Linked DNA regions of Rattus norvegicus. The protein of the gene in region 4 binds, or shares a complex with, the protein of the main gene of each other region. Links are inferred from orthologs where the notes say so. Each region holds a gene or a part of one and is shown on either strand. Other genes may lie near its edges.

What was found. Proteins that work in one complex are often made in the same cells at the same time.
Region 1: Exosc8 (region 4) and Exosc6 share a complex: the UniProt entries of both Homo sapiens proteins name them as parts of the RNA exosome core complex. The link is inferred for Rattus norvegicus from reciprocal best matches to the Homo sapiens genes EXOSC8 and EXOSC6.
Region 2: Exosc8 (region 4) and Exosc4 share a complex: the UniProt entries of both Homo sapiens proteins name them as parts of the RNA exosome core complex. The link is inferred for Rattus norvegicus from reciprocal best matches to the Homo sapiens genes EXOSC8 and EXOSC4.
Region 3: Exosc8 (region 4) and Exosc5 share a complex: the UniProt entries of both Homo sapiens proteins name them as parts of the RNA exosome core complex. The link is inferred for Rattus norvegicus from reciprocal best matches to the Homo sapiens genes EXOSC8 and EXOSC5.

The regions. Positions count from the first base shown.
Region 1 is NC_086037.1:55,927,709-55,934,889, forward strand, and holds Exosc6 (exosome complex component MTR3), read left to right. Parts: upstream 1-3,814; 5' UTR 3,815-3,846; coding exon 3,847-4,665; 3' UTR 4,666-5,229; downstream 5,230-7,181. Other genes in the region: Aars1 (alanine--tRNA ligase, cytoplasmic), read left to right, coding at 436-549, 1,114-1,233, 1,349-1,435, 1,741-1,854, 2,243-2,428; Hnrnpcl1 (heterogeneous nuclear ribonucleoprotein C-like 1), read right to left, coding at 6,372-6,407. UniProt on the Homo sapiens protein: Non-catalytic component of the RNA exosome complex which has 3'->5' exoribonuclease activity and participates in a multitude of cellular RNA processing and degradation events.
Region 2 is NC_086025.1:109,924,694-109,932,742, forward strand, and holds Exosc4 (exosome complex component RRP41), read left to right. Parts: upstream 1-3,797; 5' UTR 3,798-3,835; coding exon 3,836-4,006; intron 4,007-5,543; coding exon 5,544-5,750; intron 5,751-5,850; coding exon 5,851-6,210; 3' UTR 6,211-6,540; downstream 6,541-8,049. Other genes in the region: Gpaa1 (glycosylphosphatidylinositol anchor attachment 1 protein), read left to right, coding at 7,941-8,014. UniProt on the Homo sapiens protein: Non-catalytic component of the RNA exosome complex which has 3'->5' exoribonuclease activity and participates in a multitude of cellular RNA processing and degradation events.
Region 3 is NC_086019.1:90,292,082-90,300,160, reverse strand, and holds the start of Exosc5 (exosome complex component RRP46), read right to left. Parts: upstream 4,253-8,079; 5' UTR 4,170-4,252; coding exon 4,022-4,169; intron 1-4,021. Other genes in the region: Bckdha (2-oxoisovalerate dehydrogenase subunit alpha, mitochondrial), read left to right, coding at 4,665-4,772. UniProt on the Homo sapiens protein: Non-catalytic component of the RNA exosome complex which has 3'->5' exoribonuclease activity and participates in a multitude of cellular RNA processing and degradation events.
Region 4 is NC_086020.1:141,083,026-141,091,258, forward strand, and holds the start of Exosc8 (exosome complex component RRP43), read right to left. Parts: upstream 4,073-8,233; 5' UTR 4,049-4,072; coding exon 4,032-4,048; intron 3,366-4,031; coding exon 3,329-3,365; intron 3,221-3,328; coding exon 3,157-3,220; intron 2,825-3,156; coding exon 2,751-2,824; intron 1,807-2,750; coding exon 1,761-1,806; intron 1,141-1,760; coding exon 1,035-1,140; intron 945-1,034; coding exon 899-944; intron 115-898; coding exon 18-114; intron 1-17. Other genes in the region: Alg5 (dolichyl-phosphate beta-glucosyltransferase), read left to right, coding at 4,646-4,711, 7,786-7,957. UniProt on the Homo sapiens protein: Non-catalytic component of the RNA exosome complex which has 3'->5' exoribonuclease activity and participates in a multitude of cellular RNA processing and degradation events.

The sequences.
Region 1 (7,181 bases), on a different chromosome or scaffold from region 4:
CGCGTATACACACACACACACACACACACACACACACACACACACACACATCACACACAAAACTATAGGAGAAATTTCTAAAAAGCAAACAACATCTAGGAAAGCAGAATACATAAATCCTGCGCCTTCCTCCTAGCCCAGGTCTGTGTGTGAGGGCAAGCCTGAGTATCCTCCTGCTTCATATGCCCTTCCCTCCACATATCCCAGGGGTGGACACTGTGAGGAACGTGGCACCAAGGAGAGCCGTTCAGCTTTGTGGTAGATTCTGAGGAAAGGTCATTTCCCCAGGTGGAAGGGCTTCCGGGTCATGAGCATGAACTAGCTTTGAACAGGAATTAGGTGCAGCCTTTGCTGCCCACGTGTGTGTGCCCAGAGCCCTTGCTTCCTGAAGGAAAGGAATCCTCATGTTTATAGCTCTGATCTTTCTCTTCCTAGGCCCTCAGGAAGTCAGAAACCTTGAAGAAATCTCTCTCGGCCATGGAGGTCAAAGTGAAGGCCCAGTCTGCACCCAACAAGGATGTGCAGAAGGAAATTGCTGACCTTGGTGAGGTAGGGATGGCCTCCCTCTGTTTGTTCCTTATATCCAACCAAGGAGTAAGACCCTCCCTGTGCTTAAACTTTTTGTTCCTTTATTTGTTGTGCTTTTTAAAGACGGGGTCCTATTCTGTAGCCAGGACTAGCCTGAAAGGCACTCTACAGCTCAGGCTGCCCTCAGATTTACAGCTGACCTCTGGCCTCAGCATGTCCCTGCAAACCTGAGCCACATGCTGGGGGCTGGGGAAGGATATCATGTATCCATACTAACCTGGAACCCCTGGAATTTCTTGGTATGCTGGGCTCCCTGCAAGTCTTTGCAGGCTCTATTCACAGCTGGTTAGGACCAGGTCTCAATGGAAGCCCCCTTTATCACGCTACTTTCTGTCCAGTGATGGCTGCTGCGTTAATATAGTGACTAGTCTTAAAGCCAGCAGATATCTTGGTGGTTTCCTGTTTTCTCAAGCTCTGGCCATGGAAGACTTTGGTTCAGAGACAGAGGGTGTGGCAGAGTGGGCTTGAGTTTCACTCTACCTCCTATTGGCCCAGACCCCAGATGGTCTTCTGCTTTGGTTCCAGGTCCTGGCCACTGCAGTCATTCCCCAGTGGCAGAAAGATGAACAACGGGAGACTTTGAAATCCCTGAAGAAAGTCATGGATGACCTAGACCGGGCCAGCAAAGCCGATGTCCAGAAGCGAGTGAGTCTTGGTAGTGCTGGCAGCTGTAAGAGAGCCCACAGGTTTTCTAGAGAGAGGCTGACAGGGTTGAGAGTCTGGGCCCTTGGCCTAAGCCTTTCTCCTGGGCTTCTTGTAGGTGTTAGAGAAGACTAAGCAGCTGATTGACAGCAACCCCAACCAGCCTCTGGTCATCCTGGAGATGGAGAGCGGTGCATCGGCCAAGGCAAGCAGGGAGAGGGCCAGGGCCCTACGTCAGCTGGGGGGTGTTTGTCCTTCCAGCCTTGCCAGCCCTTTAATTTTGAGTTTGTGGTCACCTGAGGCCCACGGCTGAGCCATGGAGAGGTCTGGTGGCCTGAGAGGGAGGAGCTTCCTATGCTTAGGAGCCAGGGTCTTTGCACGGGCTCCTGGGAACAGGGTCTGCTCTTAGGAAATGGGATGGTGCTCTGAGGGCTGAGTTCCACAGACTCCCTTTAGAAGGCAGGGCTCCCTGCCCCAGTGCTGTGACCTAACACAAGATTCTCCCCTCAGGCCCTGAATGAAGCTTTGAAGCTTTTCAAGACACATTCTCCTCAGACATCTGCAATGCTCTTCACAGTAGACAATGAGGCTGGCAAGATCACATGCTTGTGTCAGGTTCCTCAGGTCAGAACTTCCTACAGCCTCAGTCCAAATCAGTCTGCAAACCCGTAGGCCGTGGGAAACACTATGTTTAGCTTCTCAAGGAGAAGACTGTGTTTGTGTGCATGCAGTCCTGATTAGAAACAGTTGATCTGTCGTTTGTCACACACACACACCCCCTTGGTGCCTTTTACCTCTTAGGCTTTCTTTTGGGTGACAGTATTCACTACTGGCTTAGCTTTTTGTCCTCACCTTGGCACTGGCCATAGCTGCTCTCCTGTAACCGCTATAGAGTTAGTCTTGGCCTGTGGTAGCTTCACCCATGACACAAATGGGTGTTGGGGGCTCCTGCCATTCCCCACCTCAGTCCCATCTTCTATGCTGACTACCATTTTCCCTTTCTGTCTTCTAGAATGCAGCCAACCGGGGGCTAAAAGCCAGCGAGTGGGTCCAGCAGGTTTCAGGCCTGATGGATGGTAAAGGTGGTGGGAAGGACATGTCTGCCCAGGCCACAGGCAAGAACGTGGGCTGCCTTCAGGAAGCACTGCAGCTGGCTACTTCCTTTGCCCAGCTCCGTCTCGGAGATGTAAAGAACTGATGGGAGGGAAGCCCTCTCAGGAAAGCATCTCCCCGACAACCAGTCATGTTCAGGTGCAGGAGTCTAGCCAGGAGCTCTCCTCCTGCCACGAAGACATTTGAGTCTTGGGACCTTTCAGCAGCCCTCCGTCCTGATCCAGCAGTAACTGGAACGCGCCTGGAGCTGTCCTGTGATTCATTGCCCCTTTCCATTCTGCTCTGAGCCATAATGTCAGCGCCATCTGTCTAAAGTCACTACCCAGGAATGCTACCTAACATCCTGATCACGTCTAGATGAGGTCACTCTGCCAACCTGAGGCTTCTAGGTCTGCAAGTGGGAAGGAAGCCTTCCACTGCAGAAAATAAAGGACCATGTGCAATACTAGATGATACCACGCTCTCCTTTCTCCTGAGGTTGACCTCAGCTCCCTATACATGCAGAATACAGGCTGTGTGTGGTTCTGGCTGGTTTCTGATTGATGTTATCACAGAGTACAGCCTCAGACTCCTGAACTTGAGGAACGGCCCCTGGGAGAGCAGAGCTAGAGGCAGAATGGGTGGGCTGAAATTGAGGCATTCAGTAAAAGGGGTGGAGGAAAATTCTTCTGAATTGCTTCACATGAAGAAGCACCATTCTTAGTCTCTTGGGACAACCTCATAATGGCTTTCATCATGTGTGTTCAACGTGCCTCCCCTTGAAGCTGCTGATATGAGGTCAGACAACTAATGTAGGAGGTATGAATGTAGAGATGTCTTCTAGTAACTGCCCCATCCCTGCTTCTTTAACCTGAAATAGGTTCAAGACCCTGGCTCGGCCCTAAAATGCAATTTATATGAATCTACAAACAGCAGGGTCTGGAAGCTGAGATACTGCTTGCTTATGACAGATCTCAGAGTGTTAGAATTATTATTCAGTTGTAGGAAGAGAGATAACGTCCATTTATTAAACAAGTGTTGAAGCAAGCCAGGGGACTAACTACAGGAATGAACAAAAAGTTCTTTTTTTTTTTTAATTAATTTATTTATTTCATGTACATGAGTATCCTGTACTCAGACACACAGAAGAGGGCATCAGATCTCATTACAGATGGTTGTGAGCCACCATGTGGTTGCTGAATTGAACTCAGGACCTCTGGAAGAGCAGTCAGTGCTCTTAACCGCTGAGCCATCTCTTCAGCCCGAACAAAAAGTTCTTACCTAGGGCAAGCTTATATAAAACAATCTGAATGCAAAATTCAAGGAATGACAGTAGATCAGGTCCTATGGAACCACAGGTCCAGCCAATACCTCGCCGTTCTTCCTCCATTCCGCTAGGTGGCAATGCGGAAACCTACCGCTCTCCCGATAGGCTCCGCGCGGGCGCGTATCTTTAAGCGAGCGGAAGAGCCGGTGCGCAAGGCATCCTGGCAGGCGGAAGTAGCTCGTACGCCGGTAGCCGCCATGCCGGGAGACCACCGCCGCATCCGAGGGCCAGAGGAGTCCCAGCCGCCGCAGCTGTACGCGGCCGAAGAAGACGAGACGCCCGCTGCTCGCGACCCGACGCGCCTACGACCGGTGTACGCCCGCGCAGGGCTGCTGAGCCAGGCTAAGGGCTCAGCCTACCTGGAAGCGGGAGGTACCAAGGTGCTGTGCGCCGTGTCCGGTCCGCGGCAGGCCGAGGGCGGTGAGCGCGGCGGCGGTCCCGCCGGAGCGGGCGGTGAAGCTCCGGCTGCTCTCCGGGGTCGCTTGCTCTGCGATTTCCGTCGCGCGCCCTTCTCCGGTCGCCGGCGTCGCGCGCCCCAGGGCAGCAGCGAGGATCGTGAGCTGGGTCTGGCTCTGCAGGAGGCTCTGGAGCCCGCTGTGCGCTTAGGACGCTACCCTCGTGCTCAACTCGAGGTGTCCGCGCTGCTGCTGGAGGACGGCGGCTCTGCGCTGGCCGCGGCCCTCACCGCTGCTGCGCTCGCCCTGGCCGACGCGGGAGTGGAGATGTACGATCTGGTAGTGGGCTGCGGCTTGAGCCTCACACCGGGGCCCTCCCCGACTTGGCTGCTGGACCCCACGCGACTGGAGGAGGAGCATTCTGAGGCCGGCCTCACGGTGGCGCTCATGCCCGTGCTCAATCAGGTGGCCGGGTTATTGGGCAGTGGGGAAGGCGGCCAGACTGAGAGTTGGACCGATGCGGTGCGCCTGGGCCTGGAAGGCTGCCAGCGCCTCTACCCGGTGTTGCAGCAGTGCTTGGTGAGGGCTGCCCGCCGGAGGGGTGCCGCCGCCCCGCCCTGATTGGAAAACTTGAGCGACGAGGATGCGGAGGACTGCTATCGCCCTTTTCTCCCAAAAGGACCAGCGCTGATGGTTGCCCGATTTCGCTGAGCTGAGACAGGAGAGTGGGGGAGTGGTGCGCACAGAACCAAAGCTCTGCACAGCTGCGTTGGAAAGAAGTTTAAAAGGCCGTTGGAAACACGATCCAGTTGGAGAAATTTGAAAGCAGCCATATTCCTAAGTTGGAAAGGACTTGGGCTGGATTTACTTAGTAAATGAGACCTGGGGCTATGGCCTTGTAAGGGATGGACCCTGTGCAGGCCAGCCGGCAGCTCCAATATAATTCTTTTTTTTTTTTTTTTTTTTTTTTCTGAGTTGGGGACCGAACCCAGGGCCTTGCGCTTGCTAGGCAAGCACTCTACCACTGAGCTAAATCCCCAACCCCAATTCTTTTCTTTTGAGAGGATGGACAAGGGGACTTTGCCTTCTCACTACTCGAAGTAAAACATAAAAACATTTTTATGCCTGGAAATAACATGTGTTGTGATTTTTCTTGAGTTAAAAACAATGCTGTTCAGAAATGGGTGTGTGTTGATTGTGTGTTGTCAAGGGTCCAAGTCATTACTGCCTTAAGTATTCCTGTTAGCCCGCTGTAAGAAAGAAAGGGTTATGTGCTTTGGAGGAGAAACCAGCTGCCCCGGGAGCATTGTCTAGGGCAGCTGCCGAGGGGATAAGACTGAGCAGATTTCAGGACAGCCAGAGCTACACAGAGAAACTCCCGTCTGGAAAAGTCTGGGGAGAGTTCAAAGGAGAAGCCTGGATGCACCCCTGTCCTTTCCTTTAGGACAAAACCATGTCTAGGAGTTAGGTAACTGAAAAGGATTATGCTCTGGAAAGAAGCCGGGTCCCATCCTGGTGCCTGTCCAGGCTTGGCTCCTGGGAACAAGGGTCTGGGCAGCAATGGTCTACTAAAATGCAGACCGCCTAATACTGTGGTATCATTTACAGCCTGGCTATTAAGGCAGAGCAGGCCTGACTGACCAGTATAGGGACTTATCCTGTTCTTCACAGGCTGAAGTGGAGGAAGCTGTGAGACTTATTAAGTATTCCAGGGGTCTGCTCAGTTTATGAGGACAAAGTAAGAACTCCTGACCAAGAAGAAGAAATACATATTTTATTTTTTCCCCCTTCTGACATGACTGTAGAACAAATCCAAAATTAGTGTTATACTTACTAGTGAGACTCAAGATAGAGACATAAATGCTCCTTTATTCTGAAGGATAGCTTATGGCTTCATAGAGCACATGGTGGGTTTAACCAAAAGAGGTTGCTTAGGTGGGCGCACACCATCAGGTTTAGTGTTGTGTGGGGAAGAGACAGTTTTCATTCCATGAGAGCTAATAGTGCCTTTTGGGCTCAGGGCCCTGTCGTGTGCCTCCTGCAAGACCACCACAGTTGAATGAAAATAGGCACTGCTGGTCTGTGTGGCTTCCCTACCCTGCCCACAGCAAGACTCATGGAAAAAGAGAGTTAAACCCACGACTACCGGGAGGGGGAGGTTTTCTGGGTGGGCTGGCTGTACCGTGCTTCAGACTTTCAATACCCAAGCTCCAGAAAGGTGACTTCAAGTCGCATGGGAGTGACTAGGGGGCCTTCCAAAAATACAAGGCAAGAAAACAAGCCACCCAAGAGTACCAGTGAAGAAAGTCTGGAAGGTTCCCCACCTCCTACTGGCTATTCTGGTCTGATGCGAGATTCTTCACCTGTGGAAAACAGAGAGGCTAGTTTAGAGGGTGAGAGGCACGGCCACGTGCTAAAATCTAGTTCCTCCAGCTCTCCTCCTTCCCGTTTTGGGAAGCCAGAAGCTATTCTAGATTCTCTGGGGGATGGGAGGGGTGCTGGAAAGTGTCCATTCTAAGCAAACCCTGAAGCCTGGAAACCCAGAACCCACCCGCAGGAGTAAACATTCTCCCTGTAGCACATTGGTTTTCAGGGCAGTTGTGACTGGGGCAGTAGGCGGGAACCCTCCTGAGCTCACCTAGCCTGGGGTAGGCAGGGCATCATGAGGGAATTCACTACCAACTCTGATCTTGCTAAGCAGACTTGGGAAGTGCTAAGCACTGATGATAGAGGAAGAGACAGGGCAGAGAAAACCTCAGGCCCTTTACTGCTACACAAAGGGCCATTGTCAGTCCACATTTGGATTGCCTCAGCCTAGGAACATGAGCATAGCATGCCACAGCCCTGGGGAGGCAACCAAAAGGATGAGGCCAGAAAGGGGGAAGAAATTCGTTTTTGTTGTTGTTGTTGATGATGATGATGTTGTTTTAGAGACAGGGTTTCTCTGTGTAGCCCTGACTGTCCTGGAACTCTGTAGACCAGGCTAGCCTCAAATTCACAGATTCACCTGCCTCTGCTCCTGAGCACCTCCTGGTTCAAGAAATCAAATTTTAATTAAACAAGCTTAAAAGGGAGCAGGGGGAAGTTTAGCATATGGAACATACCTATTCCAGAAGATGGTGTTTCAACCCAGAACT
Region 2 (8,049 bases), on a different chromosome or scaffold from region 4:
TTTATTTATTTCATGCATGTGGGTACACTGTCGCTGTCTTCAGACACACCAGAAGAGGGCATCGGATCTCATTACAGACGGTTGTGAGCCACCATATGGTTGCTGGGAATTGAACTCAGGACCTCTGGAAGAGCAGTCAGTGCTCTTAACTGCTGAGCCATCTCTCCAGCCCAAGGACACTTTTATTAGGAGGCATGGTGAAGACTCTGTGGAGCTGGAGGCTGCAGTGGCCACCAACTTCCTTCCTCAGGCTGAAGACCAGCTTTATTCTGGCTATCCTAAATGGCTGAGGCAATTTCGTAAAATAAGCAATACTCAAGATAAACAACCCCAACCTAACAAGGATGGCAGGGGCTCAGGCTACCCTGGTAGAAAGACCTGCTCCACATTGAAGCAGCTGCTGAGGGTCCAGCACGGAGGATGGCTCACCCAAGCTGCATCAGCAGGGCCTGGCTCTCTTACTAACTGGTGTCCAGCTGTCATGAAAATACCACCTCTGTGAGGGGGGATGTTGAGAGTGCTAGGATTGGGATCTTCGTGGTAGACCATTTGTCCAGCCCAACACAGTACGTCCAGCCTACCTGCTTCTTGAGGTTAAATGTTGACAGTCCTCTCATGGACTTGTGGGGGGATCTATGCACCCCCCGTACTGGGTGTGTGTGTGTGTGTGTGTGTGTGTGTGTGTGTGTGTGTGCGCGTGTGTGTGTTGAGATCCTTGGGACCCACCCATCCTCTCCTCTCGGTATTCTATACACTAAGCTCACTGCTTTAACTCTTATCGTTGGATAGACATACATTTTCTTATGCACTAAATGGGCTGGGTGGTGGGGGAGGGGTGGCAGGGGAAAAGGGTGAGCTCCTTGCTAAGAACAATGATCACTAAGAAACAAACACAGGGAGAGGTGCTGGGGCAGGGATGAGGGTATCCCTCTTTTCCTTTCTATTGTACTGGACTGAGGTGAGAGACTGGAATACACCGAGCTAGAAATGCAGGAGTAACATAACTGGTAGGTGACAGTCCCTCTACATGCTCCAGTTCCCTAGAGTCTTTAGGGACAGAGAGTTGATAAAAAGCTGCTATGTCCTTCCAAGACATAAGACAGCTTTGAGTTACTTCTAGACTTTTTTCTTTTTACATTTTATTTATCCGGGGAAATGGGGGTGTGCCTGCCACAGTGTAGGCATAGAGATCATTAGACCACAACTTCTGTGATGATGATGATGATGATGAAGAGGAAGAAGAGGAGAAGGAGGAGTTCTCTCCACATATGGGTCCTGGTGTTTTTATTTGTTTGTTTGTTTGTTTTGAGACAATGTTTCTCTGCATAGCCCTGGGTGTCCTGGAACTCTCTGTAGAGCAGGCTGGCCTTGAACTCAGAGATCAGCCTGCTCCCACTTTCCAAGTGCTAGGATTAAAGGCTTGAGCCACCTCAGTTGGCTGGTGTGATGTTCTAACTCTCCTAATCCTTCAGAACGGAATGTCCCTTCCCTTCAGGACACCTGTCATGTTCTATGTCACACTCATCTCTCCAGAGCCAACGCTTCTGAATAGTCTCCTCCATAGGGGCCTCCTCACTGCCGTCTGTGACAATGGTGCTGTAACTCTCCTCATGAAGCTCATTGGAGAGCAATTCCGTCTCAGTGTCCTCTCTGCGAATCTGTGTTATCTTTTATCAATGACAACAACAGAAGGTCAGCAAGATCATCAAGCTGGTAAAGGCACTAGCCGCCAAGCCTGGCAACCTAAGTTCCAGGACCCACATAAAGATGGTGTGAAAGGACTGACAAGGTGCCTTCAGACCTCCACCTGCAACCACTAGCACGAATAGCTAACTTTTTTTTTTAAACTGTCAGTGGAATACTAAGCACCCAGACGCAGGAGAATCTCTGAGAGTTCTACGCCAGCTGGGGTGTAATGAGAATTCTGAAATGTTGGTTTAAAAACACAGAAATATAAGCGTTTGTTTTCTTTTTAACCCCAGGTGTGGGATGTGGGGCTGCTTCAGACTGTCCACAGCAGCTGACTGTGATTTGCCTGGTGCTCTGCGGAGGCGTGGTTTTGCCAGCTGCAGATAGTTTCTGTGATTGTGTGACTTTGGAATTCTGGGAACTTTTCAGAGAGTATAAAAATGCGAAAGCTCCAATCGACGGGGGTGGCTGCTGCTTGTTGGTAGTTGTACTCAAAGAAGAAACTGAAAGGAAGAAACTAGATTCAAAGATCTCCCACACCCTCCTCCTTCCTGTCCCTTCCTCTCCTATCTAGTGACAGGAGGTAAAACCGGGAGGGATAAACGACTGGGAAAAGAACCCACAAAGTAGCTAAGACCCGCTACACTGAGGCTGCATAGTAAGATCTTATTTTAAAACACACCACAAGGGTTGGGGATTTAGCTCAGTGGTAGAGCGCTTGCCTAGGAAGCGCAAGGCCCTGGGTTCAGTCCCCAGCTCCGAAAAAAAGAACAAAAAAAACAAAAAAACAAAAAAAAAAAAACACCACAAACAAACCACCACAAAATTATTTATTCTGGGTGAGAAAATAAGACAACATACTCAGAATCAAGACTCACAAGCCCTCCACAATGAATAGCATTCCTTAATTATCTGCTCCTACAATACACAGGGTTGTTAAAGAGGACTCAGTGGGACTATAATCTGCTCTATCTACCCCACAGGTATGAAGCAAACAATAAAAATATACCTCCAAGCTAGGTGTCACGGTCCCACCTATAATCATTATAAGAGCACTAGGGAGGCTCTGGTAGGAAGATTGCTAGTTTGAGGCCAACCTGAAATACATATCAAGATTTTCAAAAAGCAACAGCAACCAGGTGATATCGCACATGCCTCAGATCCCAGCACTCTGGGCAGAGATAGGCAGATCTGTGATCTCAAGGCCAGCATGGTTTACAGAAGGAGTTCCAGGACAACAAAGGCTACAAAAAGAAACCCTGTCTCCAAAAACAAGCAAACCAAACAACAGCAAAAAAGGGCCCATCACCAACAAACACAACAAAATCTCAGGACTATGTATTTCATATTCTGAGTGAAAACACTCCCAAATGTATACTAAGTGACCGAATCTTTAAAAATAATCAGAACTCCAAAACCTACTATACAGGTGCATATAGACAACCGCAGGCGCTTTGTGCTTGCATCCAGGCTATAGAGAAAACTTACTGGCCAAGGTAAGGGAGGGAAACTTATGGATTTAACCAAGCAAATGAAAAAGAAAAAAGAAAAACTAAACTAATACTGAGCCACAAAGATAATAATCACGTGTATGTGGAACAAAAAATTGTGCTTGGCTAAACTGACCACTGTAAAAACCACACGGACGAAAGACGAAAAAAAGAGAAGGACCAGATTCCAGCACTCACAGTGGCTGCCCCCTTCTAACCTCCGCAGCACTGAGCACACACGTGACGAAAAGACATACAAGCAGGTATGCTTGTTCAATACATTCGTACAATAAAAATAGATATACAGTTTTTTAAAGGGCCAAAAAAAAATAGTCTCCGCTGGGACCAGCGCCTCCGACAAACCGAGGACGTCCGGAAAGAGAAGTTTGTCTTCAAGGCGTACCTACTTCAACAACCGAGGAGAAGCTGCAAAAACCAGCTCGGCTCGGGCCTTTGATTTCCCGGAACCGAACGACGTGACTCGTACATTCAGCAGGCCGGGGAAGCTACGAGCCTTGCACCGGAAAGGGACTAGTTTACCGGAAGTTATAGCTCTCCGAGACTGAAAAGGAAACGGACCGGCGGAAGTCGTAGTCGCGGAAGCCCAGGTCATCTAAGGGGTCGTGCTCTCGGAGGCGGAGCGAGGACTGCGCAACATGGCCGGGCTGGAGCTCCTGTCCGATCAGGGTTACCGGATAGACGGTCGCCGCGCGGGGGAGCTGCGCAAGATTCAGGCGCGGATGGGCGTGTTTGCGCAGGCCGATGGCTCGGCTTATATCGAGCAGGGCAACACCAAGGCACTGGCGGTGGTCTACGGGCCTCACGAGGCGAGTAAGCGGCAGGGATTGGGGGCTCGTGGCCGCACGACGAGGAAGTAGACCTTACAGCTTAACTCCTCTACCTATGCAGCAGTATACTAAAATCCCATCTTTGAATTTCTGGGGTCCTCCCTGGCAGAAAGCATCTCAACACACGTTGTCCCACCGTGTTGTAGGGGAAATGATGTGCGTGCATCTGCGAGGACCTGGCTTCTTCTGATTTCACCTCACGAGCTCTTTCCCTTGGTTAACTTCCATTTCAATCCTTCCTTTGTGTTACATCCACTAAGCCATGAATATAATTATACCCCGAGTTCTGAGTCCTCTCGGGGAATTGCATCCCTAACATGGCCCTCAAATTTGTATAAGTATTAGGTCCCATGATGAACTGAGAATATTGGTTTCTTTAAGAACCCAGTTATGTTATGTGATTATGTTTTTGTTTTAATCCCACGGGTGGGATATGGGGCTGCTTCAGATTGTCCACAACTACTATGATTGTCTCATGCAGGGACTGGGGGCTCATGGCTGCACATCGTGGGAGTGGACATGAGTCTTACTGCTTAACTCCTCCGTCTCAGTGGGCCTCTTTTCTCCTGGGCTGCCCTCTTCATCTCTGAGGTGCCTCATACATCCTGGCAAAGCTACACTCAGTCCCTGTTCTTTCAGTCCAGTGTTTTGACATCTTGTCCGGAAAAGGCCTCCCAGGCTATTTCTGCCCCTGCTACATCGATTTTCCTCAGTCTTCCATGTCTCTTGTCTCTCTACTGGAATGTAAACTCCCAAGACAGAGACATTATAAATTGCCTGCCTTTGCTGCTTTGTCTCAGTGGTGTAGCAAGGCCGGCAAACATGCACATTTTAAGGGTTTTTTTGTTTGTTTGTTATTTGTTTATTATATATAAGTACACTGTCACTGTCTTTTAGACACACCAGAATGGCATCAGATCCCATTACAGATGGTTGTGAGCCACCATGTGGTCGCTGGGATTTGAACTCAGGACCTCTGGAAGAGCAGTCAGTGCTCTTAACCAATGAGCCCACATTTTAAGGTTTGCTAGCAATTTGCTCAGCTTTCTAGGTGGAAGCCAGGTCAGGTCTAGAACACATTAGGCCAGACTACTGGTAGACCGAGGGACAGTAGATCAAATAAAGTTGAGTGGTTAACCAAGGAGATGAGGACCCAGGGCTTTGAAGGTCGGGGAAATTGAGATTTTCTTTTACATGTAATGAGAAGCTTCTGGAAGGTAAGTAAAATATTAGTGTGTGGGTGACACAGTCAAATCACATGTTTGTAAACATGGTGACCACGATGGGAATGATTTAGGAAGAAATGGAGCAACTAAAGAACAAAGGGGTTTTTTTTGCGGAAGGTGACAGTGGTGCGGCTTAGACCGAAGTGTAGCCCTAAACCGCCTGCCATGGTTTGGAACCAAAGTAGCTGCTGCTTTCTGAAGCACTTTAGAAAGAAGAGGAGGAAGGCTGAGCCATCGAGTGTGACCCAGGAGGTAGGCGGCCCTGGCTCATTCCTTCTTTTTTCCTCCAGATCCGGGGCTCCCGGTCACGGGCTCTGCCTGACCGGGCTCTAGTGAACTGTCAGTACAGTTCAGCAACCTTCAGCACAGGTGAGCGCAAGCGAAGGCCTCATGGAGACCGGAAGTCTTGTGAGATGGGGCTGCAGCTACGCCAGACCTTCGAGGCAGCTATCCTCACACAGCTGCACCCACGTTCTCAGATAGACATTTATGTGCAGGTGAGCCTCAAACCACTCCCCCGGGGGCGGGGCTTAAGGGGATGAGGTCTGCCTGAGATGCTGGAGGATGAGATGTCTGATGTCCTGATGCCCCCTGCAGGTGCTACAAGCAGACGGTGGGACCTATGCAGCATGTGTGAATGCAGCCACGCTAGCAGTGATGGATGCTGGGATACCCATGCGGGACTTTGTGTGTGCATGTTCGGCTGGTTTTGTGGATGGCACAGCACTAGCGGACCTCAGTCACGTGGAGGAAGCAGCTGGCGGGCCCCAGCTAGCCCTGGCCCTGCTGCCAGCCTCTGGCCAGATTGCACTGCTTGAGATGGATTCGAGGTTGCATGAAGACCACTTGGAGCAGGTGCTCGAGGCTGCTGCCCAGGCAGCCCGGGATGTGCACACTCTGCTGGATCGTGTTGTCCGGCAGCATGTGCAGGAGGCCTCTATCTTACTGGGGGACTGAGGCCAACCCCCCATATCCAGAATAAAGGCCTGTTCCTCTCCTGAACACACTGTAATGTACAGCACTTCAAAGCAGCTCAGGGCCCTACATAGCAGTTTGTACTGCAGTCCCTAAGTGGAGAGAACACTTGTGCTAGGAAGAGCAAGAGTGCTCATGCTGTGCCTGCCCAGATATCAGGGTCCACAAAGACCACCAGGGGTCTGGATTTGTATGCAAAAGCAAAGCCTTTATTCACACTTAAGCTTGGACCCTCAGAATCCTCCAAGCATCAGATTTGTGCTGAGACCTTGAACCTCATTTAGGCAAGGTTTTTATACTAGTTTGAGCAGGGAACGGGGGTCTCCAGCATAGCGATTGCCTTACTTAGCAAGGGTTGAGCAGGGAGGGGGTCTCCAGCCTGTCAGTTGCCTTATTTGGCAAGGGGTATCTTGGTGCACAAGGATTGGTCAATGATGAGCAATTTATCTGTAACCTTTGGAATTTTAGACACTTTCCCTCTATTTCTCTGATTGGCTCTAGCCCAGGGCAGTTTCTTCCTGGATTGTTTATGATATTTCTATTAATCGCAGTTCAAACAAGGGACAAGCAGGCTCAAAATGGAGTCCGCTTTCTCCCATCACTTGTGTTCCTCACTCATGCCCTCAGACTAAGGAATGTGCCTTGCTTACACAACTCTTCAGAGACATGAGTGCAAGGCTGAGGTGGCTATGTGTGCTCATCAAGAGATGTAAGGTTAGACTAATGCAATGGTTCTCAACTTGTGGGTCACAACCCCTTTGAGGTCTCCTATCCGATATCCTGCAAATCCGATATTTACACTATGACATAACAGCAAAATTAGTTATGGAGTATCAGCAAAATAATTTTATGGTTGGGGTTCACCACAACATGAGAAACTCTATTAAAAGTAGAATGTTAAGAACCACTGGATTAATGTTTTTCCTTGGGCCTTTCTTGCCTCTTTGGGCTCTAGAAGGATATCAAACCTTTGTTGCCTCTTGGCCATTTATTCTTTTTTTTTTTTTTTTTTTTTTTTTGGTTCTTTTTTTCGGAGCTGGGGACCGAACCCAGGGCCTTGCGCTTCCTAGGTAAGCGCTCTACCACTGAGCTAAATCACCCAGCCCCTTGGCCATTTATTCTTAGACCCTTACCTCTGGACCCTCTTAGAAAAACTCCTCTGACCCACCACTACCCCTCTCCTCTGGCCACCAACTCGCCCACTGTGCTAGTCAGCCCACTGACTTAAGGTTCATGACATCCATAGAAATGATTCAACAACGGATCCTCAGTTCACATGGGGGCCCTTAAGTCATAGCTATAACAGTCATTCAATATCTCACTTCAGCAGGCAACAGTCTTTTCGCTGTTCCAGCTCCGTACCCACCTGTGTCACACACTCCCGAGAAGAACCTTTAGGCAGGCACGCTATTGCTGTTCTGTCTTGAGTTCGGCCAGTGTCTTGCCCTTCCAGCTGTTTGCCCGCAGCTTCACAACCTCAGGTTCCAGTTCCGCCCACTGGCCGTGACAGCATCCTGTATTTCTCCAGCCTACTGCAATACTGAGCATGCGCAGAATGTGGTTTCCAACGACATCTGCCCCTACGCTACCAAGCGTAGTGGCGCGACGGATCCTGGGACCGGAAATAAAGGCAGCACGGGGCGCCGGGTCTGACAGGAACCCTGCGCTTGGAGGTGTCAAGCTGCGGCGAGAGCTGAGCCCCGCGCCCCGCCATGGGTCTCCTGTCGGACCCGGTGCGCCGGCGCGCGCTCGCCCGCATCGTCTTGCGCCTCAACACTCCTCTATGGTGAGGGCGGGTATAGGGGGCGGGACTCGCGGGAA
Region 3 (8,079 bases), on a different chromosome or scaffold from region 4:
GGGAGGCCTTGGTTACTCTGTGCCACCCTGAGCACTTCTTTCCTCTGCTCTCTCATTTTTAGGCGGGGATCACCCACCACTTGAGCAGGGGCACTGTCTTCCTCGGGGCATTTCTTTTTTTTTTTTTAAGGAGCTGGGGACCGAACCCAGGGCCTTGAGCTTGCTAGGCAAGCGTTCTACCACTGAGCTAAATCCCCAACCCCCCCTCAGGGCATTTCTGTGCCGATCAGGTGACTGGGTCTCACAGCAGCAGGAGGCCATGTGTCTCAGCATCGCACAAGAAGATGAAATAAACACGGACTTTAAAGAGAAGCAGTTCCCTTCAAACATGCAGGACACTGGTCAGCAGGGGCAGAGCTTACTGCGGACCTCAGCCATGGTGAATTGTTAGAGACAGTTGGGGCCGCAGGGATGGCTGGGTGGTGGTGGTGTGTCAACATGCACGCCGCTCTCCCAGAGGACTAGAAATGAGTTCCCAGCACCCCCATCAGGCAGCTTACAACCACCACATCACCCAGCTCCGAGAGATCGACACCCTCTTCTGCCCTTCATGGGCACTGGCACACACATGGCTCTCACCCCCGAAGTACATACACATCCCAGTGTTTGGGAGACAGACAGGAGGATCAGGAAATCAAGATCATCCTTGGTTCCGAGCTAAGTTTGAGGCCACCCTGAGCTACATGAGACCATCTCATAAGCCAACCAAACAAATCCCTTATTAGATATAATTAAAATATATTAGTAAAAGCATTTTAAAAGGACAAATGAACAAAAAAAGATTGTGATGTGTAGGGGGGGGTCTTAATTTCTGCATATTTTCCCAGAGTGGTTACAAATGGGTCTGGAGAGTAAAAAGTCTGGCTTCTGGTCCCGTCCGGGTCTTACTGGCCCTTGTGTGAGGAGTTTGTTAATGTCTGCAGGCTTCAGAGAGGCTCCCTACGACAGGAAGGCATTGCACTGCACAGCAGTCTCCACGTTTCTGACATAACTCCCGCTTTACAGCACAGCTGCACACTGATAAAATGTATGTGTACAGTGGATCACAGGTTGGGGCTGGAGAGATGGCTCGCAACCATTTGTAACTACATTTTTGGGAAGTTCACACTCTTCTGTCCTGCTCGGGCACTGGGGACATCCATAGGAAATCAATCATTTAAAAGTTGAGGGCTCAGGGATGTCACTCTGTGGTGGGGCATTCATGCTAAATCCAAAGCAGAAAATAGGATGACAAACCTACACGGGCAGCTTCCGGGGCTCTGTAGGTTTCCACTGGACTTTTTTTTCTTCCTTCCTTCCCCCGCCCCTTAAAAGATTTATTTATTTTATTTATATGAGTACACTGTGGCTGTCTCCAGACACACCAGAAGAGGGCATCGGATCCCATTACAGGTGGTTGGTTGCTGGGATTTGAACTGAGGACCTCTGGAGGAGCAGTCAGTGCTCTTAACCACTGGGCCATCTCTCCAGCCCTCCATTGGACTTTCTGCAGTCAGGTTCTGTGTGGTCAAGGCTGGCCTCGCCCATGCTGTGCAGCTGAGTGACCCTGGCACGAGCTGCTCCTCCTGCCTTTATTTATCTCCCTGCTGCTAGGATTAGGGGTTCAGTACCATCGGTTTTGTTTTTGTTGGGTTTTTTTCTTTTTATCAATTTTGCTTGTAAGGTAAGACACTGTGCTGGCTAGTTACTTCCTTTGCTTTGCATTTGGTAAACTCAGCACGAGTTAGCCATACCTGGAAAGAGGAAACTCAACTGAGGCAACTGAGGGACTGCCTCCATCAGAAGGGTCTGTAGGCAAGTCTGCAGGGGAATTCACACACTCCCGGACCCAAGGCATTTCACTGATTAACAACTGATATGGAAGGGTCCCACTCGCTGTGGGCGGCGCTGCTGTTGGGCAGGTGGTCCTGGGTTATAAATGAAAACAGGCTGAGCAAGCCATGAAAGGCAAGGGCTCCTCCATGGTTCAGTTCCTGCTTCAATGGACTTGGGGTATGTAGGCCAAACAAACCTTTTCCTCCACAGGTTGCTTCTGGTCATGGTCCTTATTAGAGCAAGAGGAGCCTAATGAGGTCAGCTATGAAGTAATAGGGTTAGTGTGTCATTTATCACATATACCCATCATTTGCACTGCTCACTGATGCCACGCCCCCTCCCATAGGGTGTTCTTGCAGGAGCCTTTGAGGTCAGATGTGTCTGCAACATTTTTTTAAAAAGATTTATTTATTTATTATATATAAGTACACTGTCGCTGTCTTCAGACACACCAGAAGAGGACATCAAATCCCATTACAGATGGTTGTGAGCCACCATGTGGTTGCTGGGAATTGAACTCAGGACCTCTGGAAGAGCAGTCAGTGCTCTTAACCACTGAGCCATCTCTCCAGCCCCATCTGCAACATTCTTTTTGAAAGTCTGCAAGGTCTCCAATTTGCACCAGGGCCCCGTGGTTTAGAGTTTTAGAACATGGAAGGGTTCCCATTCTATTTCTTATATCTCGAGAGACAGGAGACGCTGAGTTTAGCAAGTGAGCAAAACCAGGAGCCAGCCTGGGATGAGAACACTATTACATCTGCGGGTGCTTTTCCAAGGAAACCCAATGGGACAGGGTCTTAGCGCCAACATCTGCCCTGAAACCAGAAGTGACCCAACTAGACTCAGGTGCTTACTAGAGCTACACAGTAGCTGTTCCTGTTCTGCTGTATAAACTGTGCTCTCGGCAAGCAAAATAGTCTCTTCTTTCCCACCATCTCTACAACGGGGCTACAGAAATTCTCCCCTTTTCAGTCCCTAGGATTTATTTTATTTTTAATTATGTGCATGCATGCTTGTGCAAGCCCCCCCTCTCTTTCTCTGTGTGTGTGTGTGTGTGTGTGTGTGTGTGTGTGTGTGTGTGTGTGTCCCTGCATGCAGAGGCTTCTAATCCCCTAGCTCCTGAGTTACAAGTGCTTGACAGCCTCCTGAATAGATGTTGGGAACTGAACTTTGTCCTCTTCAAGAGCCACAAGTGTTCTTAACCACCAAACCATCTCTCCAGTTCCCGGTTGTCTCCCTTTTTTTTTCTCCCCAAGACAGGGTTTCCTGGAACTCCTCTCCACAAACCAGGCTGGCCTCGAACTCATAGAGACCCTGCCTCTGTTTCCCAAGTGTTGTGACTAAAGGTGTTATTTCTTTTCTTAAGCTCCTGTCAGTCTTCAACTCTTGTCCCATCTACCAGATCCCTTCCCAGGAAAATGCCTGAACAGTTGTCTTAACTGTCCTTTCTTGCTCTCTCTGACCCACCACTACCCCACACTAACTTACTAGCCATAAAGTGATCAGCTCTTAATATCTCAAACACAACTCCCCATTGTCAACTCCATCTTTGTCCTCTTCATTTGTCTACTCTGGTAGTTTTTTACCCTCCCATGACCTCTCAAAGTTGGTTGGCTGGACTGGGATACAGGGTTATGTGGGCCTCAGCCTCGAGATCTCTCTTTTCTTTCTATTCATTTACCCTGATGAGACGTGTATACCAAGGAAAGGCATGTTTTCTCAAATGATGGGACCAGAGAAGGGGAGCTACTTGTTAGCCCAGGATGGGAGGATCACGTTCAATTTTCAGAGCATTTACTTAGGTATATCACCTGCCACAGTAATTATATTTAAACCAGTAGTGGTGATGTGTCTGTCTCAAAGGGTATTTATGCAAATAAACACCTTAGCCTCAACCGATGATGTATGGATCCAGAAGTGTTTTTTAAGAAATCTAGTCAAGGATAATATTTGCCTTGGTGAAACACCTATTCTGGAATATTCACTCTTAGGAGAGGGGTCTTGCCCTGGATTTCTTCCAAGAGGTATTGACCAGCCTGGCCAAATCATTTCTTCTCGAGTCGGGAGGTGGGTATACGCAATATCTAGAAATAAATTCTCCAAGGAGGTGGGCGTACTTGGTTGCACACTACACAGTAACCGCTCTTCAAAAACCCTTCTTCGGTGAGGATGGCGCGCGCTGAGTTAAACCTTGTTAAAGTCGTACCTTGCAGAAAAGAAGCAGATCCATCCGGCCGGGACAGCAGGTTTTGCTCACAAGCAAAGTGCCGGAGGCTGCAGACTGGACTTCGAGGGCTGGACTCTGTTCCGGTGTCAGTGAGTACCTTGGCGTCTGCACGCTTTGCTCCCTCCATAGCCGCTGACCACGCGCGCTGGGGCTCCTACCGTAGCTTCCGCTCAGCCGCACGCGCAGTTCTACCGGCCGTGTACCTACCGCGCAAGCGCCAATCTAGGGCACTCCCGAAGTGGCCCTAGCACGTGGCTCGGCGTTTACTAACAATCTGGTCCTGCCCACCTCCACCTCCCAATTCTGGCAAAGCCATTGGAGAATAGGGAATAAGGGGCAGGACTTGGACTAGGCCCATTTTGCCCAAGGCCCCGGGCCCTGAACCCTGGAGGTTCAAGTGAGGTTGTCCTTTTTATTGCCTGATATTGGAACAACTCCAAGCAGACGACTGGAGCAATTTTAAAGAATAAAAATGGTCAACTTACTTATTTCTACGTCTTTGTTGCTAGGCGGTTGGAAGAAAATAGTGCGTTGGCCTAGTGGTGCTGAGATTTGAATAAGGCATCTGATGGGACAGACGCATGTCTATCTCCTGAGAAAGGAGGAGTGGTTACTAGCCAAGATGGCGGTAGCGATGTCCGCGGCCAAGATCTGGAGGCCGAGCCGTGGCCTGCGCCAGGCTGCCCTCTTGCTGTTGGGGCGACCTGGGGCTCGGGGCTTGGCTAGATTCGTGAGTACCTGGCCCCCACAGTGTCTTTCTTGGGGAGAAATAGAGACGTAACTGTTATTGTTACAGTGTGCGTGGGGCACCGCGGGCTGTGAAGGAAGAGCAGATTCAGAAAGAAAAGGACCGGGAAACTTTTTGAAGAGAAATTCAAGGGAAGGCTCCCTTTAGAGCAAAAGCAAGGCAGCTACTTGCGGGCTTCGATGGAAGGAGACGAGTAAGGGATGAGACGGGGGTTGAAAGGACAGATCAGGTTTTCATAGGGTTCTACATTACTTAAATTCCAATTGTAAAGGGAGTCGAGCAAGAAACTCGTTTGTTTCCTATGTCCCCTGACCAAAATTCAAGGCGAGGGACTTTTCCATGACTGTCATTTACAGAAGATGATCATGAAGGGAGACAGAGCGAGAAGTTCAAACAGGACCCTTTGCCCACGTTATTTTTTTTTTTGAGACAGGATCTCACCCACTCATCTGGGATGGCCTTTAGCTCACCCAGATGCTTAGATAGGTATCCGAACTGGAGATAGTCCTGTCCCAGTCTCCCAAGTCCTGATATTACAGATGTGCGCTACGGTGCTTGGCTGCCCACTTTTCTTGAAAACACTCGAGAAAACTCGGAATCTCTTTTGATCTATTGTTGATAAGGGCAGGATAACACTTCCAAATGCTGTTGCGATCTGGCGATGTACCACAGTGCAGAATGCTTGCCTCACACTTGCCACGTCCAGAATTTGGCTCCTAGCCCCGCGCTTTTTGTTTATCTGGATATGGCGACATGTGTCTGTAATTTCAGCGCTTGGGAGGTGGAAGGCAAGGAATTTGAGGCCAGTTTGAGCTGCATGAGACCCTCTCTCAAAAAAAAAAAAAAACCCGAAAAGATTTTTAAAAATGCTTTCCTTATTTTTTATTTCATGTGCATTGTTGTTTGGTCTGAATGAAGGTGTTGGATCCCATAGAACTTGAGTTAAATACAGACAGTTTTGGGCTGCCATATGGGTGCTGGAAATTAAACCCAGTTCCTCTAGAAGAATAACCAGTGCTCTTAGTCATCACTGAGCCATCTCCCCAGTCCCCTCAAAAAGATTTTTTAAAAAAGTCTAAGGCCTGGTGTGGTGATGTGTGCTTCTGATTCCAGGCAGAGGCAGGCAGATTTCTGAGCTCCAGGCCAGCCAGAGCTTCATCGTGAGACTGTCTTTTTTTTTCCATTAATTTATTTTTTCACTCCACACTCTGAATATCGGCACCCCCTCTCCTCCCAGCTACCCCCACAGCTCCTCTCGTTCCCTTCCACCACTTCTCCTTCGAAAAGTGGGGAGCTCCTCTCACCTCCCCAGCATATCAGGTCACTGCAGTACCATGCACCAAGGCCAGACAAGGTGGTCCAGCCAGGAGTAAGGAATCCGCAGTCAGGCAACAGGTTCAGAGGCAGTTGTTGGGGGTCCCACATGAAGACCAAGCACCACACAAGTGTGTGTGGGCCCAGGTCCAGCCCATGCTCATTCTTTAGTTGGTGGTTTAGTCTCTGAGAGCCCCCAAGGGTCCAGGTTAATTGACTGTGGTCTTCGTGTGGAGGCTCCATCCTCCTCCGGGGCCCCCAGTCCTTCCCCCAACTCCTCCACAAGACTACCCAGGTTCAGGTTAATGTTTGGCTCGGGGGAGGGGGTGTGTCTCTGAATCTGTTTCTATCTGCTGCTGGGTTGAGCTTCTCAGAGGTCAGTTAGGCTGCATTCCTGTCTGCAAGTATTAACAGCATCAGGGATTGGTTCCATGGGATGGGTCCCGACCTGGGCCAGTCATTGGTCAGTCACTCCCTCTGTCTGTGCTCCATCCATGTCCCTGCACATCTTGTAGGCAGGACATATTCTGGGTCAAAGGTTCTGTGGGTGGGTCCCTCCACTTGGAGTCTTGCCTGGCTACAGGCAGTGTCCATTTCAGGTGCCATATTCCCCACCGCTGGGAGTCTCAGCTAGAGTCGTCCCTATCAGCTCCTTGGGGCCTCCCCATCCCTCCCAGGACTCTGGCACATCGAGAGACAACTCAACCCCCCACACCCCCCTCTGTACTTGTTCCCCTCTGTGAATTACAGGCCAGCCTTGTCTGTAGAGTTTCAGGATAGCCAGAGCTATATAGCAAGATCGTCCCTTACAAAAGAAAAATTTTGTCGGCAATGCCTGGTTAGAGGGTTTTGACATAAATTCCCAGTGGAATCAGGTCTGGTTAAGTGGCTGGAGTCTAGAGCTGTACCACGTGATTTGGCCTCTCTGCTCTGCCACTTGCCAGTTGTGTAGCCTTGGGCAAGCAACCACCTACAGCTCAAGGCTCTCCATACACTGCCAGTGGTGGGCATGTCATAGGGCTGCTGTGGAGATGCCAGCTTGAGGGCAGTGCAAATTGGGCCCAGCACAGAAGGGCAGTGGGAATGCCTGCCTTATGTTAGGGGTGAGGGCCGAGACCACAGAGATTGGGAGAGAAAAAGGGTGACCTGGGCGAAGCATCTCCATCTTTTATGAGGCTGTGTTTGCTCCTCTGTGTATTTCATAGGACAGAGAAGATAGATAGAAGCTCTGGGGTGAAGAGAAGGGGACAAACAGGTGAGCTGGATGAGGAAGGTTGTCAGTTGAAGCCAGCAAATACAGAAAGGTTGCTGGAGCTGGTGGGGGAGGGGCAGGCTCCTGCCTGCGTGCTGTTCTCCTTGGCTTTTTTTTTTTTTTTTTTTTTTTGGCAATCAAATCCTTCACAGCTGACTTCAGTCCCTGGACTCATTGGCTGAGCAGGTAGGCTGAGCTTCCAGCAGAAGTGAGGTACCCCAGGGAAAGGTCATTGTGGCTGATTAAATCTGTTTTCCTGCTGGCGCAGTCTTCTGTTATTGTTTATTGTCCCCGGATTTCTTTACTTATTTGAGAGGACATTTGGAGGAACAGCAGGAGGGAGCAGTCTGTATCTTTCATTATATATTTCATTGTATATTTAACTTTTTCCATTTCCCCCCACTTTTTGGCAGTGTCTTCTGTAGCTCAGGCTGGCCTCCCACCTCACCGTAAAGCTGAGGATGACCTTGAACCCCTGCTCTTCCTGCCTCCACGTCAGTGTTAGGATTAGAATTGTGCACCACTATGACTGCTTTTTTCCCCATTAATTTATTTATGTATTCACTTTACATCCCAATATCTGCCTCCTCCCAGTGCCCCCTCCCTCAGTTCCTCCTCCTACTCCCCCACCATGCCTGCTGGGGATTGAACTCAGGACTTACACATGCCAGGCAAGCACTCGACCTACTGAGGTTCATCCTCAGCCTCTTCTATCTTCTCTCC
Region 4 (8,233 bases):
TTATTAAGGTTGCTTACCATTCTTTAAAGCTGCTAACAAAGCAAATGTGCAGGCATCCAAAATGTTCCCATCGTAGTCTAGGCAAATAAGGTCACAGTATAGAACCCAAGCAAGCTAAAATAATTGACACAGAAGAAATTAGACCTGATAACACCATAGTGCTTTTTCCTCAATTAATTGAAGAATTACAGAACCATTGGTTAGAGAAAACTAGTCTTGAAAGTCTAAGATCTCTTTTTTTCCTTAAACCTTTAAGTAGGAAGTCAAAGTGGTCAGGTCAGGTTAGGAAAGCTGGGCTGTGACTAGCAAATCTACAAGAGACAGACCTGACTACACCCCTGAATAGAGCCAGAGGTGCAAAGAGGAAGTTTTATTCTTGCTGCTATGTTAACTATAATATCTGCTCCCTACTGTGTAACAAAGATTTTATAGTAATAGCCCTATAAATCTGCAAGGGAAACCAATGTAGGAACATACTATGTGCTATCCATAAATATCAGCGTAAGCAAAACCTGATCTGCTGTAAAGGATAAAAGCATTTTTTTTTTTTTTTAACTAGCAACAGAGGGGTGGGGGCGGGAGAGGGAGAGAAAGAAAACTTAGCTCCCCAGACATGCTATCTGATAACTGGACAGGATGGCACACACCTGTAATCCCAGCATTTGGGAGGCTGGGAAGGAGGAGGTAAAAGACCAGCTGGGTACACAGTGTGACTATCTCATTAAACTAAATAAAACCCAGCTGGAAAAGATTTATGACACAATTGTTAATTTAGACCAATACAGAGTAAAATGAACTTCTACAGAATTCCTTCTAAACTCTAAAATCTCAGGGTTTAAGGTTGATTAATTCCCACAACCACATTAGACCACACAGCCACTTGAGAATCTGTTCTTACCTTCCCTGGAGAAATGCATAAGTCCTCTTTCTTAATTATCTGTGAGCTTGATTTAATGATAAAGAACACAATAAATGTGAAGGCAAAACACACATGATAACGAACGGTGGTTAAACTTTTATCCTAACAGTCTTACTTCTCAATGACATCTGCAATGAACTGGCTGGTTACTTGAGCCTCTTCTCCAGGAGGTCCAGTCCGAAACCTCGATGAACACAGCGGTGGTAGGTCCACATTAGGGACTGAAAGAGACACTGCAGCTGTGAACTCAACTTTACCCACAGCTGGGGCAACTGGTAAAGGAACTGCTTCACAGTACAGGGGATTAGCCACGGGTAGACTCTTCAGGTGTTAAACATGGCAGTGTTAGAATTAGTCTTCTCAGATTGCCAAGCTCAGAGGAAAATATTACACTTAATGTTTTGCACAGTGCTTAAAAACAACCACAGGCTTCATAGTTTCTTGAGTTTCTTCCCTCAGATACCTCAGTCTGTAGTAGGAAAGTCCTCTGCTCACATCCAACTATTAAAGATTTAAATGTTGCTTCCCACTTTATGGAAAAGATAATCCAAGACCAAAAATATTGTCCAGTACTTTAAATAGAGTGCAGGCAGGATTTTAATCTGCAATGATGCTTCCTTGAATTAGGGCAACCGAGTATGTAAATAAAAACTGTCCACACAGGGTTGGAAGTGAAGTTCATGTGATGTCCCCTCTGCTATCTTCTCATAAGCACAAAGCTTTGTGGGTGAGGGGTGGGGGCGTTCTATTTCTGAGCACTGGGAACTGCTATCTATTTCATCACAAGTTAGCTTTCAACTTACTCGATTATTTGTTAAAATTTTAAGACTATTTAACTCACCGACATATCCTCTATCAGGGGCATCTACTGGTGGTGCTGCAAATTCCTACAAAAGCAAATAATATATTCCAGTGAGAGAAGCCACTCAACACGATGATATTCTGGCCATTCACAGAGGCTGTACCAAAGACCACTTCAGCCAGTTAGATTACGTTGAGCATCTGGCAGGGGCCCTAAGGATGCTGGCACTGCCTTCCCAATGGCTCCCAGGGGGGTTAAAGGACAGTATAATCAAACTCTGCTGCTCATCAACCAGGATCGGTGGGATTATGCCCACTCTTTGTGACTTGTTCAGCAGCTGAAATCTGAATTTAATCCCCAAGTGATACACAACCAGGCCAGGGAGTTAGTAGTGGCCAGAAGTGAGGAATATAGCAATAACTAGCCCAGTGCCTGCAGATCCACACAACAGACTGAGAGACTGGGCGAGTTACTTATCTTTCATATTTCTCTGCTGACACACGGACAGATAAGCAGTACCTGCCTACTCCCAGGGGCGCCCAAGTGAGACAGTGCCAGTAAGTCTCAGATAGAAACCTGGCAAAGAGTATGAGCTCTGATCCTTATCACTTCAGCTTAACCACAAACCTAAACGAGGAGAGTTGCTCAGGGTAACATGAGAAAGCGCAGCTTTTGTCATTAGACTCTGCCTACCTTCTACGTAGGGGCAGAGATTGGTAAATCTGTAGAACACCTAAAAAGGTCAGCAGACACTCACTACTCCTGTGTGACTGACGATTAAAATCTATCAGTGGCTAAATGGGATCACAAAACAATCTCAATTTCAAAAACAACATTGCCAAAATCTTCAGTATGCAGTAGTGAGGATTCAGGTTTGATTATTTGCCTTATAAAGAATTAATGATGCGCACATGTTTAAAAAAACAAACTTGATGGAATATCATTCTAAATATCAGCCCGATTAAGAGCCACTCCTAAGCATGAGGCTAATTTGGAATTCCGACGCTTACAGCCATACAGGAAACCTACTGCTTTAACTCCACAAATGACTGTGGTGTTCCCCAGCTTCACTAGAGCAGAGCCATCCGCTGTACTGATCGAACCTGGAAAGGTAAACACCATATTTATTTAAGAAAAAAAAAAAGAATTAAAGAAAAAAAAGAAGAAAATAAGCACAAAGCCTCCTACAAAGTAGTTTAAATCTTTCAGTTGTCTCGACAAGTTCAGGCCGTATTACTACTTAACGTTCTTAATTTTTCCCTTCTGTCTCCAAATCTGAACTAACGTTTGGATCAACTACAAGGTTGGTGTGATGATAAAAATCTCTTAACACCAAATGTCTTAGACATAGCAGAGCTGGCGGGAAACTATTTGGCACCAAGGATAAATAAAGGTGGGGGCTGTCCCACCCAACTGAAATGAAGCTTATCCTCACCTATGTTGACAGTTGTGGTTCTGAATTCACCAAGTTCTCTTCCATCTGGACGGCAGTTTTCTTTCTAAATGTTTATAAGGAAGCAGATTATTTATGTATTATATAATACATAAATATATTTCTTAGGCTGCAGAAAACACATGCTCTAAAGTACGAAATCACCTCTACTCACCAGAAATCTCCTGTAATACTCCAGCGGTTCCACAGTTCTGAAACATGTTTAAAATGTGTCTGAGTCAGTGCATCCTAAAGCGTAAACCCAGAATTTAAGAGTGTGGTGGTTGAGACACCAATCCCGACAAGTTCGGGCTTTTGAAACTGTGTTAACCATATTTACAAAAGCCATATAGTAGCAACCAGTTTTCAGCGGCGACCTTAACTGTGCCAAAAGGAATGGAGGCCCTTGGCACACTTAGAAGAGGGTTATCCTGGGTGTCAGTCACATCACGTTTGCTCTGAAGCGGGGAACTTAGCGTGACTTCACTCCGTAAGCCGCATTTGCCAGTGTCTACAAATTTACCACGGAAGAGTGTATTTTTACAATTACTGGAGCTCCGTTTGTCCACATCAACTACACGCGGCCAAAAGTTACAGCAGGTATAAGTGCACGCACTCGCAGACACGAGTTTAAGGTTTGCACGAGTGGGCGGGCAGCTTTGGGTCTAATCAGAGCGCCCCCAAAGGTTTCAGTCCCTTCCGAAGGCGGCACTGCGTTGAGAGCGGCGTTGCGCTCGGTTAAGAGGTCAGGGTCGTCCTGGATGTGCTGTCCCTCAGCGCCTCAATGGGCAGAGCCCTCCCGCAGCCCTCAGGATTCCCAGTCCGCCAACACGCGCAACACCCGCACCAGGGCCTCTTTTGCGCGCGCTACCACTCACTTGAACCCGGCCGCCATTTTTCCTGCTCGCACTGCGCCTGCGCAGCCCTCTGCGCCTGCGCCCTCCCCTTGGTAGGCGTGGCTCCAGCCCAGAGCACTGTTTGGAATCCTGGGTTAAACAAGTGCTGCCGGAGGCTGCTGTTCTCCGGCGCACGGGGCATCAACACCAGCTCCTGCCACCCGGAGCGTCCCGCTCGTACCTAGTTAGAATCAGGCCTGTGGGGAAGAGCCGGGGTCGATACTGTTCACAACCGCCTGCAACGCCAACCCCCGGGGTCCCACGCCCGGGTCCCCACGGGCGTGCGCGCTCGTGCACAAACATCCTTACACACACGCAGACGCGCGAAATGGAAAGGGGTGACTCTAAAACACTCCACGGCGCCGGGCATCCTTAGATGGCAGCACTGCGCGGCGTGTGGGTGAGGCCCGTAGCTTCGTCAGTTCGCACAGATCTAGTGCTTTCCTCCCCACACTCGGGGACCGGTCTGCAATCCTCAGCGGAGCCGCGCGGGGGCGCTGCGGGCGGCGGGCGCGGGCCAGTCCGGCCTCTCCTGCGGGTCGGGATGGGGCGGGGCGCTGCGCCGCACGCCGCTTCCGCAAGTGTGGAGCTGCGGGATGGCTTCGCTGCTACTGCAGCTGGTGGGGCTCGGCGTGGCGCTGGCGGCTGCCGCGCTCATTCTGGTGAGACCGTGGTGGAGTCCCGTGCTCCGGGTGTCCCCTCCGCGCTTCCCTCTCGTGCTTGGCCCCCTTGGCCTCAGATTCCCTGAAATCCTTGAACCTTTATTTCCCCCTTTGGAACCTTATCTGGGTGCCCAGAGCCTCTGCCCAGCTTCTCGGGGCTCCTGCCACCGAACCCCCGCCTGTCACATCCCACCACACTCCCCAGCCTTATTCTTGGGCCTCCCGTACGTACTGCAACTGGAAAGAGAGCAGTAGATCTATAAGGCTAGAGACAGAGACTATGGGTGAACAAAAGACAGGCCCAGATCCCTTTCTATTAATTTTGGCCAGTTGTTGGTTTTTGTTTCTGTTGTTTGTTTGTTTGTTTGTTTCTCCAGAATCAGGCACCTTAGCGTTTTCTTTGCCATTCCTATAGAAACGTAGCAGATCCCACCCCGTTGATTTGTAGAAGAGGACTTACTTGCCAACTGAACTCTGCCACATAGTTTGAAAAGGAGCCTGTAACTCAGAAAGCTGATTTTGAAAAACTTTCTTGTATTGGGACTAGATGGCTAGACAGGTGGTCAGGAAGGCCTCTGCCACTTTGCCATATTATGTACACGCACAGTCTTGGAATGGTGTAGCCAGATGACTGTTGCTGTGTGTCTGGGTGAGTCAAACGCCCTCCTTTACTAAAATACCTTCTTTAAAGGCTTGGAACAAATCAGAACTTTGTTGGCAACGTCCAGGTCATGGCAACCTTACGTTGAATCCCTTATCAGATTTAGATGACTACATGCACCTGAGGTTGTGTGGACTGTACTAGATCCCACTGGCTTGAGCTTGGAGAGGTATCCTTTAATTTACTACTTGCTGTGCAGTGCGTTGCACCTTGAAACCTGCTTTCTAGCCACCTGCTGGCATTCTTTCCACCGTGTCCCACTTTTTAAAATAATTTAAAAACAATTCCAAATAGTATTTCGTGTCTAAATCATCTGCATTTATTTCTATCAGAACCTCCTTTTTAAACTACTGCAATATGGTGATTCCAACTGCCTTTAAAACCTGTTATTTCTGTGGTTCCAATTACCCTGTCAGTTTAAATACTCTCGAGTTTGCCGGAATGGATTTCACAGCGACCTTCCACATCCTCTTTAACTTGTCCTCCAAATTTCTTGTGGCATCTGGAGATTTAAGTGCACGTGTGTGACTTTTTGATGGACTTTGGGGTGTTTTGGTTTTTTTAAATGAAAAGTCCTCAGGTACCCAGTCACCTGAAACAGCAGAAGTACAGGTTTTTAAGATGATGAGATGTTTCCCTGACATCGTAAAAGGGTGGCCAGCTTTCATTTTTTTTGCAATGTTACAGACTTACATTTTTCTGTTTTCATTCATTACAGTGATTCCTTTTTTGATGCTGCAGTTTCTTTCTCATAGGTGGAAAAGCACCTTCAGGTGACCCACACACACACACCTGTCCCCTTTGATGCAGCCCTTGTGGGTACAGATGGACTTTGCTTTCTGTATGATATGCTGTGTTGACGTACGCCTTCCCACCCCAGATCTGGATTAATTGTTTTCTTTTTTTTTTAAGATTTATTCATTTATTATATATAAGTACACTGCATCTGTCTTCAGACACACCAGAAGAGGGCATCGGATCTCTTTACAGATGGTTGTGAGCCACCACGTGGTTGCTGGGAATTGAACTCAGGACCTCTGGAAGAACAGTCAGTGCTCTTAACCGCTGAGCCATCTCTGCAGCCCGATTAATTGTTTTCTTAGAAGTGTTGATTGCTGTCTGGAAAACTGAATTCAGAAATCACAATCTGGACAGTAGAGAACACCTCCAGACCACCTTTTTATTTTTATTATTTTTTTAAGTGTGTGTGTGTGTGTACGCACATGAGATCAGAATCTGGAGACATGGCCGGAGAGATGGCTCAGTGGTTAAGAGCCCTGACTGCTCTTCCAAAGGTTCTGAGTTCAAATCCCAGCAATCACATGGTGGCTCACAACCATCTGTAATGGGACCTGATGCCCTCTCCTGGTGTGAGACAGTCACAATGTGCTCAGAATCTGGAGACATTGGGTTTCCTGGAGCTGCACTTTCAAACAGAGTTGTGAGCTGATAGTTTGGGTACAGAGAGCTGAAGCGGGTCCTCTGCTAGAGCAGCTATTGCTCTCAACCACTGAGCCTTCATAGTCTTTCATTTCCGGTGTGGCTGCTGTCGTGCTCCCCCGTACACACATAAAGAGAGTCATCAAAGCACTACGAGTAGAATTACACACCTGTATAGCTCATTTTGAAACAAAGTTGACCAATGAAAATGGTGACATAAATTATGGCTTATTTCCAAAGCCAGCTTCCCAAGTGCATGGAAAAGGCACCCATGAATTTGTTTCTTAGTATTTATTTTTATTTTTCTGGGCATGAGTGATGTATGTATGTATATGCAATGTGTGCATGTCTCGAGTGCCCAGAGGCCAGAAAAGGGTGCCAGATTCCTTGCCACCCGGGTTATGGATGGTTGTGAGCAGCCATGTGGTGCTGGGAACCAAACCTGAGTCTGCTGTAAGAACAGCCAGTGCTGTTAACAGCTGACCTGTCTCTCCAGCCCCAGGAGCCTACAAGTCTTATATGTTACTCAGAAGATGCTGTGTTCTCAATTCAAATTAAGGAAAAGAATCGGAATACATTTCTTAAGCATTATGGTTGCTGCTGTGGGTTGAGTCCTTCCATGGTACAGCTGCCATATAGATTTGTCCTCTCACATACATGCCCCAGGCAGGTAGTGGTACCTTGTTCATTTGTAAGGGTCGGCTGACTCTTAGATCTGGCATAGCAGAGACCCAAGGAGTGGAAAGTGGAAGCAAGGCCTCCTGAAACATTTAGGGAGTCACCAGCGGGGACAAGGACAGTCATCAGTCAGTCTATGAGGGGCTGTCTGCCAGGTAGCAGCAGAATCACCTCCAGAGCTGTAAAAGAACCAGACCTGAGACTATATATTCCCCTGCCCCAAATTCTGCAAACAGTAGTGTTTTAGAACAACAAACATTAGAACACTGTCAGCTGTTTCTCACTCTGCCTTTAGGTTTCCATTGTGGCATTCATAACTGCTACAAAAATGCCGCCATGTCACCGACATGAGGAAGAGAAATTCTTCCTCAATGCCAGAGGCCAGAAGGAAGCTCTACCCAGCATCTGGGACTCGCCCACAAAACAGCTGTCCGTTGTTGTGCCTTCCTACAATGAAGAAAAACGGTGTAAGCTCTATTTGAGTCTGTTTGCTAATGGGCCATTTGGGAAGAGGAGGGGGTGTGCAGTGCCTGCCCTCCCTGAGGAGGGCAGAGTTGGATCTGTGACTGGGAAGAGGGGAATGGAGATGGCAGGATTAAAGTTCTTGGAGGAGTTCTGACCTGATGAGGGCCAGAGACTCCCGGAAACAGTGGCCTGCTGCTGCATGATATCCACAGGCACCTTTCCCCTGTGTAAGCGGAGTGTGCTGGGGCTAGCTAGCTCCTTTTCAAAAGTAATCTCTA